Macaca fascicularis: one gene and its partners. The protein of the gene in region 3 interacts with the protein of the main gene of each other region in a pairwise test. Links are inferred from orthologs where the notes say so. Each region holds a gene or a part of one and is shown on either strand. Other genes may lie near its edges.

What was found.
Region 1: the proteins of CCDC184 (region 3) and STX11 interact in binary tests that used the Homo sapiens proteins (3 or more experiments, as listed by UniProt). The two-hybrid records come from large-scale screens. The link is inferred for Macaca fascicularis from reciprocal best matches to the Homo sapiens genes CCDC184 and STX11.
Region 2: the proteins of CCDC184 (region 3) and PBLD interact in binary tests that used the Homo sapiens proteins (3 or more experiments, as listed by UniProt). The two-hybrid records come from large-scale screens. The link is inferred for Macaca fascicularis from reciprocal best matches to the Homo sapiens genes CCDC184 and PBLD.

Annotation. Positions count from the first base shown.
Region 1 is NC_088378.1:48,395,345-48,401,267, reverse strand, and holds the end of STX11 (syntaxin-11), read right to left. Parts: intron 2,651-5,923; 5' UTR 2,646-2,650; coding exon 1,782-2,645; 3' UTR 631-1,781; downstream 1-630. UniProt on the Homo sapiens protein: SNARE that acts to regulate protein transport between late endosomes and the trans-Golgi network.
Region 2 is NC_088383.1:78,266,246-78,272,168, reverse strand, and holds part of PBLD (phenazine biosynthesis-like domain-containing protein), read right to left. Parts: intron 4,211-5,923; coding exon 4,111-4,210; intron 3,603-4,110; coding exon 3,504-3,602; intron 1-3,503.
Region 3 is NC_088385.1:54,942,381-54,949,000, reverse strand, and holds CCDC184 (coiled-coil domain-containing protein 184), read right to left. Parts: upstream 3,586-6,620; 5' UTR 3,087-3,585; coding exon 2,502-3,086; 3' UTR 1,289-2,501; downstream 1-1,288.

The DNA of each region.
Region 1 (5,923 bases), on a different chromosome or scaffold from region 3:
TCAGCACTTTGGGAGGCCAACATGGGCGGGTTGCTCAAGCTCGCAAGTTTGAGACCAGCCTGAACAACATGGCAAACCCTGTGTCTACAGAAAAATACAAAAATTAGCCAGGCATGGTGGCACATATCTGTAGTCTCAGCTATTTGCAGGCTGAGGTGCGAGTATCACTTGAGCCTGGGAGGTTAAGGCTGCAGTAAGCCATGATTATGCCACTGCACTTCAGCCTGGGTGACAAAGGGAGACCCTGTCTCAAAAGCGAAAAAAAAAAAGGTCAGGAACTGTGGCTCACGCCTGTAATCCCAGCACTTTGGGAGGCCGATGCGGGCGGATCACGAGGTCAGGAGATCAAAACCATCCTGGCTAACATGGTGAAACATTGTCTCTACTAAAAACACAAAAAATTAGTCAGGCATGGTGGCATGTGCCCGTAGTCCCAGCTACTCCAGAGGCTGAGTCAGGAGAATCGCTTGAACCTGGGAGGCAGAGGTTGCAGTGAGCCGAGGTCCCGCCACTGCACTCCAGAGGCAACAGAGTGAGACTCCATCTCAAAAACAAAAAAAAAGGAAAAAAAAATTTTGACAATAATTGAGAAAGTAAACTAAATGATCAAGACAGATGTATAAAAATATATGTATAATGTAATGTTTATTAAGCTTGCTTGAAAAACAGAATTCTTTTACTTTAAATTTCTCCATTTCAATGCATGAAAGGAATGGTCCACAGTAAAACAAAAGCAGTATTTCCAAGAATGTTAGTTGTCTCTAGCTCTGTATACATTTTCTACCGTCATATGTCTACCACCATAACCAATGCAGAGTTGTTTAACATGAAGTTTTGACCCAAACTGGACTATGAAGGGGCAAACTGGAGTGAAACAAACTCAAAACAAGCAAACCAACACCAACAGCCAAAAAAGTGTTCTTGAAATTTATATACCATACTTACATAAAAGAAGTTAAACCAATTGATCATTATGTACATACATTAGTGAATATTAGTATTTTACATTTACAAATACATGTGCATATGTAATCAAGTAAAAAGAAAAATGTTAAATAATTTTTATCAGTGAAAAATACATAAAACATGACTAATACTTCAATTTGAGTGCTTGTTCGATTCAGTGCTTAAAAATATTTGGAAAAATAATCCCAAAATATAACCTGGTGAAAGATATTTAAAAAGTGAAAGAGATAAGAAAATAGTAAGGGTTTGGTGTGATTTTAATAAGTAGGGGAAATGAGCAGAAATAAGATCCATATTTGGGGAGGAATCGCATAGCATAGACCGGATGAAGAATCGGAAAGGAAGAACGTGGTTTTTCCCAAGGCCAATTTCACTCAGAATGGAACAGAACCAGGGAATTTTCAGGACAAAGCAAATGAACTGAAGTTTCCATCATGAGTTCATTCTATTAGCAGATGAACAACTGACTCCTTCCTTGAATCTTTATTAGGAGGCAGGCCTCAGACATTCACCCTACAGTTAGATACAACGTCAGTTCCTTACTTGGCTTCTGTCTAGAGGCTAAGAGTGCAAGGTGACATATAATGACATTGCACAACTTGGTAGGAATCTATCTTTACTGAAGAACCATTGGACGGCATCAACTAACCATCTTTCCAAGCACGGGCTTGTTTGCAATTCTTGAACCTCGCGTTTCTTCTCTAAAGACTGAGTTCCGTAAAGAGTTGGGGCAACTCCCTGCAGGGCAGAGATGGTGCGTCCTTCCCAGCGTGCTCCATGGTCTGGGATGGGTGGTGGCGGCCCGGGCCGGCCTGCTACTTGAGGCAGGGACAGCAGAAGCAGCAGAGGGTCCGGCAGGGGTTCTTTTTCTTGTACTGCACGGCCTTCCGCACCTGCGCCTTGGCCTGGCCGGTGTAGTCGACCGTCTTTTGTACGTTGAGCTCGATGACGTTCAGGGTGTCGGCCTGCTTCTCCACCAGCACTGCCATCTGCAAGAAGAGCTCGTGCACGTCGCGGATGCGGCTCTCCAGGAGCAGCAGCTCGCGGTGGCGGCTCTCGATCTCGTTAAGGGCGGCCCGCGCGCCTTTTACATCAGCCAGCAGGTTCTCGGAGAACATATCCCACTTGCTCTGCTCGAACATGTCCTCGATCTGGTCGCCCGAGACGTCCTTCCCCATGATCTCCAGCTGGCGCTGGATGCGGATCTTGCAGTTGTCGCGCTGCTTCATCTCGGCCTGGTTGTAGTCGTGCATGGCGCGCTGGAAGGTGAGGGTGAGCGCGTTGTACTGCGCCCGCGAGATGCGCGCCACCGCTGAGTGCGGGCCGTGCTGGGCTTCGGCGGCCTCGCTCAGCTCCTTCATGGAGCGTAGCTTGCAGTGGATGACCTCGCCCCGGGCCTTGATGGCCTTGGCGATGGAGTTGGTGTCGCGCTTGATGCTGCTGAGGCGCCGCATGGACGTGAGGAAGCGGGCGTTCTGCTTTCCCAGGCGCTTCACGTCGGCCACCAGCAACTGGTTTTCATCCTGGATGTCCTGGATGTCTCGGTACAGGGACTCCAGGATGTGGTCCGTCTCGAACACGATGTCCTCGTGGGGCGAGTCAAATTCATCGTCCCCGTCTGGGAACTGCTGGTCATATTGCTTGGACAAGTCCAGAAGTTCTGCTAGCCGGTCTTTCATTTTGCCTGCAAGTAGAGGTAATTCAGTTAAATTTCTCTATTGAGAGTGAAGTATTTGCCTTCAAGGGATTGAAACTTAACATTTTACTCAGCAGTCCCAATTTTTTATTCCTAGGTGTGGGAAATAAGTGCACTAAAGGAGCTAAATGTTCTGACATTTTGCTTACAAGGAAATAAATAAGATGACTGGACAACATGAAACAGTTGCATTTTAAGGCCCATATGCACCTGCAGTTCAGTATCATAGCCGTCTAGAACTCAATCAACAATTTAAAATTTTAGATTGCATTGGGAAACCATCTCTTTTTCTTGCTTTATGTTTTTCAATCATCGCAAATTAAAACAGACACAGGAAAAAAAAAAAAGGAAAAAAGAAAAAAGACTTGCAAACTTAAGCATTTTTAATTGAGGACAATCTACAAGGCCTTGGGGCCAACATCTAAATGTTGCCTATTTTGTGTCTATTTCAGCACTGGTAAGCATCCCCTCCTGTACATACTAACAACTCTTAAAATAGTTACCATGCAAATCATGATTTAATTTTTTTTCTCTTAAAGATGTTGTAAAAGTAAAACATGCTTAAGGTAAAATGATAACAACAAAATACAGAAATCTAAGTGTAAAATTTAGAAGTTGAGGTTTCCTGACTCCTCTTTTCAATATCATTCCCTAATGATAATCATTGTAAATAACACTGCTTTTTAAAATGCTTTCATATGGAAAATTCCAATCATATGTGGCCTAGTAGCAATAATATAACGCATTCCCATTCATTCATCATGTAGCAGCAATGTTTGCCCACTTTTAATACCTTTTTGAAACAAATTGGCAGCTCAGGCAGAATGTTCATGTTTTTACAAGGATGGTTCTGGTAATTCCTCTGCTTAATAAGGCAAAGTAATAGTCTCTATGTCCATATTGTTTTTCAGTGAAGTAAAAAACTTCCATTTTTAGTAGCATGTATATATGCTAATATAGGGAACATCTTGAGTTTATACATGAGACTTCATGATGAGAAAGATTCCTTTTCTACTACACAATTTGCAGCAAAGAGGGGAAAAGTAATAACACTTAATGGTTACACAGTCTATCAGGGTTCTTGGTCTCAAATTAAAAGCTTCTTTCAAGTTGAAGTAATTCATTTTATATCACCACTAATGTAATGCTGACAAGTTGGATTTGGTGATAAATGGAAAATGGTGAAATATTAACCATGGCCTTTCATCTACCGTGATCATCATTTACATAAATTAAGCAGAAGTTTTATCTATGATGGTGATTTTTAATATAACAATATAAGCTGCTTAAAGTGCCACCATTTCTGATATCTGGTGGCTATAATCAATACCAGACGTTCTCAATGATGGGGAAGATGATTCTCCTAGCAGTATGGTTGACAGGCAGAATAAAGATCCAGGACCAAAACTATGCCTTCACTTGGTCTGAATTTCTTTTTTTTTTTCTTTTTTTTTTTTTTTTTTTTTTGAGGCGGAGTCTCGCTCTGTCGCCCAGGCTGGAGTGCAGTGGCGCGATCTCGGCTCACTGCAAGCTCCGCTTCCCGGGTTCCCGCCATTCTCCTGCCTCAGCCTCCCGAGTAGCTGGGACTACAGGCGCCGCCACCACGCCCGGCTAATTTTTTTGTATTTTTAGTGGAGACGGGGTTTCATTGTGTTAGCCAGGATGGTCTCGATCTCCTGACCTCATGATCTGCCCGTCTCGGCCTCCCAAAGTGCTGGGATTACAGGCTTGAGCCACCGCCCCCGGCCGGTCTGAATTTCTTGATATTCAACTGTTTCCTCACTTTGAACAAAATTGAAAGACAAACCACCAACTGGGAAGAAATTATAATATATGACAGACAATGGGTTAAGATACTTAATATATATATTTCTAAGCTACCAAAAAATCTACTTACCCCAAGACAGTGAAAGGGCAATTCAGAGAAGATATAAATGACAGAGAACATAAACGTATGTTATATATGCCTGATATTTTCTAGGCATCTTTCATGTGATACCCTCTTTAGTCTTTACACGGATTCTATGAGTAGGTACTGCCATTATCAGAGTTGGTGTGACCATAGGGAGATCAAGGAATTTACTCAAGGTCACCAGTAAGTGAACACTCAGGCTTTAGAACAGCACCACTTAACCACTGCACGAAATAATCCTTAGCAAAAGTATAAAAATATAGTCACAAAAGACTTCTGTATTAAACAAGGAAATGCAAATTAAACTGCTGAGAAATTTTTTGCCCACAGAGTTAGCATGAGTTTTTTAAAAACAATAATTTTTCAAATGGGTAAGCATTCTGGGAACTCTTAAAACATACTGGTAATTCCATCTCACGCCAGTCAGAATGGTGACTATTAAAATGTCAAGAAACAATAGATGCTGGTGGAGGCTGTGGAGAAATAGGAATGCTTTAACACTGTTGGTGGGAATGTAAATTAGTTCAACCATTGTGGAAGACAGTGTGGCAATTCCTCAAAGATTTAGAACCAGAAATACCATTTGAGCAGCAATCCCATTCCTGAGTATATACCCAAAGGAATATAAATCATTCTATTATAAAGACACATGCATGTGAATGTTCACTGCAGCCCTACTCACAATAGCAGAGACACAGAACCAACCCAAATGCCCATCAATGTTAGACTGTACTATACAGCCATAAAGAGGAATGAGATCATGTTCTTTGCAGGGACATGGATGAAGCTGGAAGCCATTATCTTCAGCAAAGTAATGCATGAACAGAAAACCAAACACTGCATGTTCTCACTTACAAATGGCAGCTGAACAATGAGAACACCTGGACACAGGGAGGGGAATAACGCATAGTGGGGCCTGTCGGGGAAGGGCAGGGGAGGGGAGAGCATTAGGGAAAAGAGCTGATGCTTGCTGGGCTTAATACCTAGGTGATGGGATGATCTGTGCAGCAAACCACCATGGTACATATTTACCTATGTAACAAAACTGCACATCTTGCACCTGTACCCCGGAACTTAGAAACATGAAATAAAATAAAATAATATAATCAATATTATCATTCAGGGTCCTGAGACCTCTCTCAGGTTCTGCTGAACTAAGCAATTAAATTAAATTTTCTTCTAGATTAAAAAAATAGTCTAATTTAAAACTCCTGTGGTGTCTTTGTTTTTGCAACTTAATGATTTTGCAAATAAAGTCTATTAATTATTTTTAAAAATTGGTAATTGATAGAATCTTTCTGGAAGAGTTTAGTAATATGTATCAAAAGCTTTTCAAGTGTGCATTTGTT
Region 2 (5,923 bases), on a different chromosome or scaffold from region 3:
TGTAGTTTTTAGTAGAGACGGGGTTTCACCGTGTTAGCCAGGATGGTCTCGATCTCCTGACCTCGTGATCCGCCCGTCTCGGCCTCCCAAAGTGCTGGGATTACAGGCTTGAGCCACTGCGCCCGGCCCTTTTTTTATTTTCTTGAGACAGGGTCTCACTGTGTTGCCCAGGCTGGAGTACAGTGGCGCGATCTCAGCTCACTGTACCCTCTGCCTCCCATGTTCAAGTGATTCTCCCACCTCAGCTTCCCAAGAAGCTGGAATTACAGGTGTGCACCATCACACCCAGCTAATTTTTGTATTTTTAGTAGAGACGAGGTTTTATCATGTTGGTCAGGCTGGTCTCAAACTCCTGACCACAAGTGATCCACCTGCCTCAGCCTCCCAAAGTGCTTAGATTATAGGCATGAGCCATCACACCTGGCCAGCCTCCTTAAATCTCGGTTTCCTCATCTATAAAATGAGGTTAATACATTAAACCTACCTTTTATAATGTTTTCTCTTTCTTTGAGGAACTGTCTCACTCTGTTGCCCAGGCTGGGGACTGGCTCACTGCAGCCTTAACCTCCTGAGCTCAAGCAATCCTCAGCTTCCCGAGTAGCTGGGACTACAGGCATGAGCCATAATGCCTGGATAATTGTTAAATATTTTGTAAAGACAGGGTCTCACTATGTTGCCCAGGCTGGTCTCTAAGTTCTAGACTGAAGAGATCCTCCTGCCTTGGCTCCCAAAGTGTTGGGATTACAGGCATGAACCACTGCACCTAGTCTAAAATGTTTCTAATACAGATTTTAAAATATCCTGCAGCAACAACCATAGAGTCATAACCTGTTCTAGTCTAAGATATGCCAAGGGAATAACAAAACATTTAAGTTGTAAATATCAGTCTTATATGAAATAAATGTGGTTTATCCTAAATAAACCAAACTTTTTACACAGCAATGTGATTTAAAGAATGCACCACAAATACTGCCATCCCCTGTTACTGATGCAGCTTGGGCTACTTATCAGTGTGTGTAACATTTTTAGTGAAAACAAAGAATGGTGACCTAATTCTTTTCTCTCTCTTAATATTTCTGTAAAACTTAAATCACATGTCAAAGGTGAAGAACTTTGACTTATTAACTTTCATTGAGCATAAAATTGACATTTGGAAACACAAAGCTTAATTTTTCTCATTATGATCGATATAAGACATTACTATTTACAAAGCATTTTTTCATATCTTATCTAACCTTAAGACTGCCCTATGGGGGGTTCCAGGGTGTTATTATTCCAAACCTCAGCATCAAACCAACCCATGTGGAGTCCAGTTTTCAAAAGACACTCAATCTTGCTTTGGGAGGTCGAGGCAGGTGGTTCACCTGAAGTCAGGAGTTTGAGACCAGCCTGGCCAACATGGTGAAACCCCATCTCTATTAAAAATACAAAAATTAGCCAGGCGTGGTGGTAGGCGCCTGTAATCCCAGCTACTTGGGAGGCTGAGGCAGGAGAATCGCTTAAACACAGGAGGCAGAGGTTGCAGTGAGTCAAGATCTTGCCATTGCACTCCAGCCTGGGTTACAAGAGCAAAACTCCATCTCAAAAAAGACAAAAACAAAAAAACAAAAGACACTCAATTTAATTTCAGTAAATCTTATTTTTCAAGACTCAATTCCTAAACATTTCAGAATGTCTGCTTGCCTTTGCATGTGTCCCCTATCCACAGATACCAAAATCATCTTTTTGAAATGTATATTGAATTATATTATATGGCCTCTCAACTTTATCCCTGCCAATCATATAGACAGGTCCCAGGGGCTTTGTACTTGCTAGCCTCTGCCTGGGATGCTCCTCCTCTCACTCTAGCTCATCCCACAGATGCTTCATCTTATCCTTTAGCCCAAAGTTCCCCTTCTCTAGTGGGTGCTGATCCAGATTCTATGTCTGACCCATGGCCTCAGGACTGGGACTCCATGAGGCAAGGAAGTACCATAGGGTACAAAATGTAAGGAGGCACCTGCTCTCAGCTGCAACCTGGGGCCTTGCTGGCTCTGCCTACACCCGGCCCTGACCCTGCTTGCCCAGAGTGCTGGCGGCCTACAGCTCTCAACTGAGTCACTCTCTTGGAGTTACCTTTGGCTGAGTAGAGCTACCTTGCCCAAAGTCATACATCTTTTCCAGGTTTTGGGGACTGGTCCATGGAGGATAAAAAGGCCTGAATCTCTGCCTCTACTTGGAACTATACTACTTGAAAAAATGTCCAGCTTTAGAGCTCCCCATGGATTTGGCCTAGGCCTTTCTTTGTTGCTACTACTCTGCAGTTCAATTTCTCCCTCTATTCAATCCTGCTTTCTTTTTTTTCTTTTCCTTGAGGCGGAGTCTTGCCCTGTCGCCCAGGCTGGAGTGCAATGGCACAATCTCAGCTCACTGCAACCGCCGCCTTCCAGATTCAAGCGATTCTCCTGCCTCAGCCTCCTGAGTAGCTGGGACTACAGGCATGCGCCACCACACTTGGCTAATTTTTGTATTTTTAGTAGAGACGGGGTTTTGCCCAACCCCCACAGTGACCTTCTGTCGTATTATCCTGTTTCTTTCCTTGTTTCCATTTCCGTTTGCTGTCTATGCTTGTTTCTGGCTGCTTCCACCTCCTGTTTTAGGGCATTTCCCAGGAATCTCTCCTCTGTCCCATCCCCACAAGGCCCTGATCTTTGTCCATTAAACTAAATGCAGCTAAGATAGAAACTGGCAGAATTAAGGTGCTGCAACTCCTCTTAAGGTGAATGTATATATACAGTGGGGGCCCAGGAATCTTTAAAATTCAGAGCAAAGAAGCTCTTATTGGCTGGGCGTGGTGGCTCATGCCTGTAATCCCAGCACTTTGGGAGGCCAAGGTGGGTGGATCAATTGAGCTCAGGAATTTGAGGTCAGCCTGGGCAACACAGCAAAACCCCGTCTCTACCAAAAATACAAAAATTAGCCAGGTGTGGTGGTGTGCACCTGTGGTCCCAGTTACTTTGGAGGTTGAAGTGGGAGGATGGCTTGAGCCCAGGAGTCAGAGGTTGCAGTGAACTGACATCCCAACGCTGCACTCCAGCGTGGGCAACCGAGCCAGGCCCCATCTCAAAAAAAAAAAAGAAAGTTTATTGAAGAATCTCTTACTGTGAAATGAATTTCAATGTGGGAGGGGAAATAATTGGAGTGAAATGTTCCTGTTGGTCCCCAATCTCATATCGTATGAGATGACAATTCTGCCCATGCAAGCTTCACAAAGACCAGAGATCTCCGGTTTAAAAAATAGCATTCTGACTGCAGCTTTCCAGTGATGGTGGGCACATACTCAGAAAGGTAAAAGTGCTATTGAAGGTCGCTAGTTTTGTTTCTGCATTACGAATAGCATGAAGTAAACTCTGCAAAGTCTTTATACCAGTCACTTTGGACCATCAGAATAAGTCTGTGTGAGAACTTAAAAAAAAAAAAAGCCATTTGCTAAGTGTTAGATTCATTAAAGAAAATCACATTACTTATTTTGTAAAACAGCACAGCTGCAGAAGCCAGGGTGGCGTGGCCACAGAGCGGAACCTCACTTGCCGGTGTAAACCATCTTAGTCCAAAGCAGGAACCTGAGGGTAGGAAAAGCCAAAGAGAGATGAGATCATTCCCATGTAAGCAGGTCACAGATTTCTCATCTTCTTCTTTCCTAAATATTTCTCTAGAATGATGAATAGCCAAAACATGTTGTAAAAGGAGGAATGATGGCTAGGCAAGCATCGTAGGGCTCCCCAGTGCTAGATCTGGAATGGAAACATTCAGGTTCACCAACACCCTCTCCCCCAGATGAACTGAAAACCAAATCAGAATCTCCCGCTCTATCTACTGTCTGCATGCAAATAATAAGGGGGCATTTTCCTTAAAGATCATCCCCCCACCTAAAAATAATTTCTGGTGTCATTCAAGAATGATTGTAAAGCGGTGGCTCACGCCTATAATCCCAGCACTTTGGGAGGCTGAGGCACAATTCCTTGAATCCAGGAAGTGGAGGTTGCAGTGAGCCAAGATCATGCCACTGCCCTCCAGCCTGGGCGACAGAGCAGTTCTTTAAAAAAAAAAAAAAAAAAAAAGCATATTTACTTTGTGCAAAGTTGTCTGTCGGGTGCAGTTTTCGGATAAAAGCAGTTTCAGAGAGGTTCATCTCCCTTGCAATTTTCTGATGCATGTCTTCTTCCAATTCCTTAATTAGAAACATAAGATCATTGAGGTTTCAGTAACACAGATCAGACTTCCTTTGGACAACAACTACCATTAATTTAAAAGCAGTTTATTAATAATAAAAGTTATATGCTTAAAAGGAAATAATTACCAAGGAATTCAAGACACTTTTATAAAGATTGGTTCTCAGAAACCCATGTTTGCAGTACCCTGTGAAGAAGAGTTATAAATGTACAAGCTGGAATAGACTGTGAAAAACTGGCTGGCCTGGCCTGTCTTTTGTCACATTAAGATCTAGTCTAGCTGACAGAGTGTGCTCTCTTCTAAAAACAAACGCCATGCAAGGAAGTACCCCAATCTCCCTTGCTTTGTTGGTGAAAAAGAGGTTTAGCACTCACTCTGGGCAGGCTGGACCACTCCTCCCCCGTCTTTGCATGGTTTACTCCCTTTCGTGGGAAGGGCTTCAGGCCAGGGGTCACCTCCTCCAGTAAGCCTTCCCAGACCACTGTGCTTAAGGTGTTGTCTCCTCACCAGTGCTTAGATGTCCTGAAATTGCCTGGTATGCCCTTTATCGTCTGGCCTCCCCACCTCTGATTCTAAGTTCTGTTGGAGTACGGACTGTGCTGTCTTGCTTTGTCCGGACCTGGAACAATGCCTGGTATTCACCCCAGCACAGTAGGAGGTCAACAAACATTTGTTGAAAAACTAAGTACATTATTTCACTTAATCTCATTTTTAAAACCCTCAATGTAAATATTTTTATACCCTTACAAATGAAGAAATTAAACAGAGAGATCATATAATATCCTAAGACCACAATATACCTAATAAACACTACAGTGATTAAGAATGAGAGCTTAGTTAGGCGTGGTGGCTCACGCCTGTAATCCCAGCACTTTGGGAGGCTGAGGAGGGAGGATAGCTTGAGTCCAGGAGTTCAAGACCAGCCTGGGTAACATAGTAAGACCCTGTCTCTGTAAAAAAGATAAAAAAAAAAAAAAAGAGCAAGGGCTTTAGCTGGGCATGGTGGCTTATGCCTGTAATCCCAGCACTTTGGGAGGCCAAGGCAGGAAGATTGCTTGAGACTAGGAGTTCAAGACCACCCCCCAGTCTCTATAAAAAATAAAAATAAAAAATTTAGCCGGGCATGGTGGTGCTTGCCTATGGTCCAGGCTACGTGGGAGGCTGAGGTGGGAGGATCACTTGAGCCCAGAAGTCAAGGCTGCAGTGAGCCATGATTGTGCCACTGCATTCCAGCCTGGGTGACAGAGCAAGATCCTGTCTCAAAAACAAAAAAGAAAAGAAAAAGAAAAAGAATGAGGGCTTTGCAAATGTGGACAATAGTAACAACTGGCCAGGCACATGCCTATAATCCCAGCACTTTGGGAGGCCAAGGAGAGTGGATTGCTTGAGCCTAGGAGTTGAAGACCAGCCTGCGCAACATCATGAGAACCTGACTCTAAAAAAATATTTTTTACATAGTAACAACTAGTGAATCTAGGGGAAGGGAATATGCATGTTCACTGTACCATTCTTGAAACTTTTCTGTAGGTTTTTAATTTTTCAAAATAAAATGTTTTAAAAAATTATGTGGGTTTGAAAACAGAATTGAATTTCTATCCTGGGTGAGGCCCTAGTAGCAGTGTAAAAGTGGGCAAGTCATTTAATCTTATGGCCTCAGTTTCCACACCTTTAAGATGGGAATAATAGCACTTAAGTCAAGGTTTATTGTGAA
Region 3 (6,620 bases):
TAGAATCAGATAAGTAGAATTAGATAGAATACCTAATATCTAATTCTAAAGAAGGATAAGGGATCTTTTGTTTTTTTGTCTTTTTTGAGACAAAGTTTCACTCTTGATGCCCAGGCTGGAGTGCAATGGCACAATCTTGGCTCACCACAGCCTCCGCCTCCCGGGTTCAAGTGATTCTCCTGCCTCAGCCTCCCGAGTAGCTGGGATTACAGGCATGTGCCACCACGCCTGACTAATTTTGTATTTTTAGTAGAGACGCAGCTTCTCCATGTTGGTCAGGCTGGTCTCGAACTCCTGACCACAGGTGATCCACCCGCCTTGGCCTCCCAAAGCGCTGGGATTACAGTTGTGAGCTACTGCGCCCAGCCTCAAGGATTCTTTGGATAGGAAAAGATTATATAAAAAGAAAGTTTCTAGAGCCTTCCGTGGGTAGCTTTGTTTTCCCAGAGGAGCCAGTCACCACCCCCCCCCCCCCACTCCAATAAAACTATAAGGAAACTAACATTTGCACAAGACTTCTTAGGAGTCCTATATATTTTTCTCCCCAACAACTTTTTGTTCCCATTTTACATATCCAGAAACTAAGCCTTGAGCACTCAATTCAGTGTTGGAACTGAGTTTTAAGTCCAGATCTGTGTCTTTAGTGCTCTCTCTTTCCACCACTCCACAGCTACCAGCAGCAAGAAAACACACACACACACACACACACACACACACACACACACACACGGCACCCTAGCTCATTCTGCTCTCAGATTTTGTTCAGGGTCTCCATTGCCCAAGGGAGTAGACTAGAGCTGTCAGTTAAGCCCTCTGGGGAACACCTTCCCCGGGTTCTCCACTAGAGGCCTGAGGCAGTTATTGTGGTTTCCCTTTGTGATGTGTCACTCTATTTCCAGAGATCCCAGGTAATCCCTCCAGAACAATACCCCCACCCCACTCCCTCCACAGAACAGGTGCAGTACCTGCCATTCCAGGACGCAGATTTGGAAATCATCTCCCAGGGGCCAGATGCTTCACTGAAAAGTCTCCTGCACATTTGGAGTTCTGGCTACTAAAAACTCATGTTAGCATAGGAGTCTCAACACTTACCACCTCCTTCCCCAGGGCAGCTTGAGGTCAAGGTCCAGGACAGAAGGGAAAGCAGGCGGAGCTGGCAATGCCTGTCCCAACCAGGACAGGAACAGTCAACTCCTTGAACTGGAGCCAAGGAGAGAGGAGGGAAGGTATGGTCCCTGCAGTTCCCACTAAGCCCAACCCTGATATCCCTCTAGTATCAGTCAGCAAGGAGGGGAGATGACGCCTTTTTATTAAGGTTAACACCAAGGAAAGTATTGCGAAGGAATACAGAAAGGAGGGGGAGGGCACACAAAGTCACCACTTGAGGAGGTGGGAGGGCGGCACATCAATAAAAGAACCTCAGGACAGCCACATGCTCCATGCCCTGATTGGGAGAAGAGGGAGGGAAAAGCGCCATGATAGCTTGGAGCTCATAGAAGGGTCTGAAGCCCCCTGAACCTAACATCAGAGCCACAAGCCCTGACCCTGAGGGCTCACACACTACTACACAAGTAGACACACATAACACACACAAGACATGAAGGCAACACCGAGAGGCAGCGGGCAGGGACATATTGACAGAAAAAGGAACTGAAGTTAAGCAGGTGTAGCCAGGAGAGACAGTTTTTGGCTGCGGCCCCGAGTCCCTCAAATGTCCCCTAAATCTGGGTTGCTGCTGAGCACCCCCGAGTCTCTGCCTGTGAACCGGGCTCTTTGTTCTGTAAGCCCCAGTGAGTGGAAAAGCAATCCCAGATGAAGTCAGTGACAAGGCAGGATCCGCTCTGCATGCAAAATCCTAGAGGTTGAGCTATTATGTCTTCATGCACATTCATAGCCAGCTCCTCCCAGCCCAGGGGCCCTTGGAACCCCATTCACCCAGATTCCTAGGGCTGCAGTTCCCTCCTCAAGCTTCCTTTACCAATCAGCAGCCGCAGAGATCTGTGAGGGGGAGAGGCTTCTGCAGAGCACTGAATATCTTGGATTTCAGCAGAAGGGTAAATTTCCTGTTGCCAGAACAGAATACCCCCAATTCCTTAATTTCTAGGTAAATTGTTAGAGATTATTTGCCATGGTCCTAGATAAGTCCTTTTTCAGAATAGAAAAAGCAGAATTTTATTTACACATTTCAGGGGTTCTCCTGTTGTCTGGGGAGGGGGAAAGGACAGGATAGGGATGGATGGGAGTCCAGAGATGGGCGCTTCCTCTCCCGGAGCCTCACCTTTCCGCAGTTTGCTATAATTCGCTTAGTTGGGCAGAAAGAATTCTTGATGCTCCCAAAGTCCTTCACCCTACAAATCCTTCCTCGAGGGAGTCTCTCTCTGCCTGACCCACAAGAGCAGCTGTCCAAGGGAAGCATGCCGCACCGCGCCGTTCAGTCCCCTCGCGTCATGCACTCGGAAACCCAAAGACAGCCCGAGAAGGTAGTGCCCCACGGAGTCCCCTCACAGGGAGGCCTCGCCCTCCAGTTGCAGCAGGGTAATGTCGGGCATGTCAAGGGGCTCCATAGGTGGCCCGTCCCCCGCAAGGAGACCAGCACAGGGACTCTCGGGACGCTCACAGTGACTGGTGGGTGTGGCGGGGCTGGGCATCTCCTTCTCTTCTTCCTCGTCCTCCTCGTCCTCGGGATCGCGACCCAGTAAGCCGCTGTCCCCAATTCCAGGTGAAGGAGTCTCCGGCTCTTGGGGGTCGCTCGGGAAGCTCCCCTTGCCGCTGACCACGCCCAAGCCGCCCTGGCGGGGCGCAGTGGTCATAATCTGGCACATGGAGACGATGGCTCGCTGGTTGGCGCACACGTCGTCCGAGAGCACCTGGATGTGCGAGGCCTGCTCGTCCAGGGCCCCCCTCATGGCCCTCACGTCCTCAAACAGGGCTTGCAGCTGGGCTTTCAGGTGCTCCATCAGTTCCTTCATGCCGCCGTTGTACTCCCCGGAGATCACGTCCCCCACGGCCGGCACGGTGGACACCTCCAGGGGCGCCGGCATGTCGCCGCCGTCCTTGGTCATGATCTCCAGCAGACCGTCCTCCATTGAGTGGCAGAAGCGGGTGGCGGCGGCTCTGGGTCGCGTCCAGCCCGGCCTCCGGGGTGGGGGAGGGGGTGGAGGGGGAGAGGTCCCGGAGGGGTGGGGAGGAGCGGAGGGAAGCAGAGGCTCCCGAGACTGGCTGGGAGCGGACGTGAGAGACGAGTCCTGGGCAGAGGGCGCGGGCAGGGTCGCGGGCAGGGTCGCGGGAGGCCGAGAAGAGGCGGCGGGACGAGAACCCGGAGAGGGTCCCAGAGCCGGCGTCTCTTGGGCTCGCCCCGGGACGAAAGTGCCCTGCCCTGCCTCACCTCCCGGATTGCGCCCGTGTCAGCGCCGCCCTCTGGGCGCCACAAGCAGAGAGCGCCTGCCGGTTCCGTGGGTCACAGACGCGCTCGCGGAGGGGTCCGGGTCCGGGCTGAGGCCAGCGGCGCGTAGCACTCGGGACTCCCCCAGGCCATTAACTGGCAGCGCCCGCGAGTGTGGCAGCAGCAGCTGGGGCGGGTCTCCCGGCGGCGCCGCGGATGCTCCTCTGTTTCCAAGGCGACGCACGGCACGTAAATGACGTGTGTCTCCATGGTAACCAGGAAGTGGAGAAGAAAAAGGGAGGATGGCTGGAAGCTGCAGTGGGGCTGTGGAGTCTGGACTAGCGAGGTGGGGGGAGGAGAGGGGACGCTGCAGTGGCTTCGGCCGAGGCTAGAAAGAGTGTGTGGTTGCAATGTTTAATAGGGAAGCATGAGAGAGCCGTTTGCTGCATAAACCTCCAAGTCCGGGAGAGATCGTCCCTCCCCTAGCCGGGGTATGAGACCCAGCGCGACTGCCCTGGAAGGATTTTTCCAGCCCGCATTCCTTTCTCAGAGGATGGCGCTAAAGTCGAGTCCTGCCTCTCTGTCCTCCAGCGGTGCGCAGGAAAGCGGAGAGGGTAGAGAAGCTGATGCTAATCATCCCAGAGTTGAGCTGGGGCACGGTGGCGCTCTGGAGCCGGCCCCACCGGGCCTGGCGGCGCAGAGGCAGGAGGAGGAGGGCACTACGGAGGTTTCTGCAGTAAATCAGCCCTCTCGCTATAGAAATCACCGGAGCTGGGAAAGGATGGGACTCCCTCCTTTACGAGACCCTACCGCTCCTACCCAGGTCCCTGGGAGTTTGTCCCGGATGGGGAGGCCAAGTACTTAAGTTTTGGCAATGAAAGCTCCATAAGGGCAGAGATTTTTGTCTCCCCTGCATCCTTCATCACGGAATCCCCAGCTCCTAAAATACTGCCTGGCACCTAGTATGTAGACGCTTAATATAGTTATTGAATGAATAACAAAAACCACCAAGTCCCATGCTCTCATCCGGAACTCTCCAAGCCAAACGTACTGGGTTTTAGGAGACCTGAATTCAGTTTCGTTTCTGCCACGTATTCATTCAGAGACCTTGGCCACATCATTTTCCTCATCTGTTAGGGAATTGAACTGGATAGTCTATAATATTATTTCTAATTCCGAATAACACTCTGCATCATCTCACAGGTGAAAAGGTAAACTGTTGACGGTTGCATGGAGGGGATGGATGGGATGACTGTGTGTTAGAGTAATTCCCGCTCTCTCTTTCAGTGCCCAAGTTCAGACATACATTGAGTATCCACAACCTTTGTGACAACCCCTTTCCCTATTTAAGGGGTGGAGCAGGAAGGGCGGAGGAAGAAAAACATTGTCTTTAATATATGTAGATGATTCCAGATTGAGAAGGAATCAGCACCTGGGCAGAGCACATTAATAATGACCCTAGGAAATTAGGGAAGCCAAGTGATCAGAAACCAAAAATGAAGTTCACAAGAATAAATCTGGGGAAGAACAAACCATATCACTTCAAGATAGAGAAGAACTAGGGAAAGGTGTTTTGTAGACTGGCGGTTCAGTTACAGCAAATGTGTTACCTTTGGGTTTCCCTGATTATGTGGTTGGTGATGAAGAGTGAGACTGGCACAGGGAAACTTTTGTGACACTAGAGGACTGTTTGGCCTATACCAATCTTACTGCTATTAAAATAGAAACAAGTGGGGACTATCCTAAATGACCAGGAGCAGAATGTTTAAATAAACTAAGGCAAAATTGCTCATATATAAAGTATTATGCAGCCATTAGAAATTTGATTTCCCAAAACAAATATATGAACAAATTTTAAAAACACAGTATCGTATTTTCTGAAACTAATGATTCAATCCTATTTGCTTGCTTATTTCTTCCTTCATTCTACAGATTTCCAGCACTCTTATCTTGGTTAGGACTCCTACCTCTACTATGTACCCCATAAGTGGTAATGACACCTTAAGTTACTCCTGAAACTCTGGCTCAGGAGAGGACAGAAATGTTTTTCCTTGGTTTCCATAAGCACAACTGAAGTGGGCTGGTATTTACAAAGAGACTTTATTAACAACTATAGGAAAATTAGAAATAGAGACAGGACACATGAAAACAACTGAGCTTACACAGCATTAGTTTCTGATTATACTACAGCAAGCATGTTCTCAGGGCTTATGGGTTCAACCCTGCTTTCATCCTTCCCATCCTTCCCAGGAGAGCTCAGCTATAGCCAGAAAAGACTGTCATGGCTTTCAGGCTTTCTGTCTGGGTCTGTTACTTTACATCTCTTGACAAGCACTTCACATGGAAAATTTCATCTTGCCAGTTCAGGCATGTCCCTGCCTTCTACCTACAAAGAGTGACTCTGTCCCAGTGGGGGACCTCTCATCTTTGAAATCCCATAAGCTTACATTAAGCATAGCCCCCATACAGGAGGAGCTGTGGCATGTCATCATACAAGGCCTTTTGCCACTATTGTTGAGGATACCATTTATGTCAAGGCTTTCAGCATAAGATTACATCATGCTGTCCAGAGGTGCTGGCTATGAAGTCCACTGAGAGTACAAGGGATCTGAGCCCAGAGGGAGGGGAAATTATTGGAGAAGCACAAAAGACCATGGGAAACATATGCAGAGATCAAGCAGTGTGGCTGGTCCAGTCAAGTTCCAGGTCAAACATTTGAGAGTCAAGGGTAGGTGGGAACTGGGGGAGTGGACCAGTAGCAGAATTTGAAAATATAGGAAGGTGACTGGGTACGGTGGCTCATGCCTGTAATCCCAGCACTGTGGGAGGCTGAGGTGGGTGGATCACTTGAGATCAGTAGTTTGAGACCAGCCTGGTCAACATGGTGAAACCTGTCTCTACTAAAAACACGAAAATTAGCTGGGCATGGTGGTGGGCACCCGTAATCCCAGCTACTCCAGAGGCTGAGGCAGGAGAATTGCTCAAACTAGGGAGGCAGAGGTTGCAGTGAGCCAAGATCACGCCACTGCACTCCAGCCTGAGTGACAGAGCGAGACTTCGTCTCGAAAAAAAAAAAGAAAGAAAAAGAAAAGAAAAGAAAAAAAAAAGAAAGAAAAAAGAAAGGAAAAGAAAATAAAAGAAAAAGAAAATATAGGAAGGAGACATTGGTGCGTCTGATAGAAAACCAGATCATTTCAGGAACTCTGTGTGAAAATGAGACAAGGTAGAAAGGTCTAGT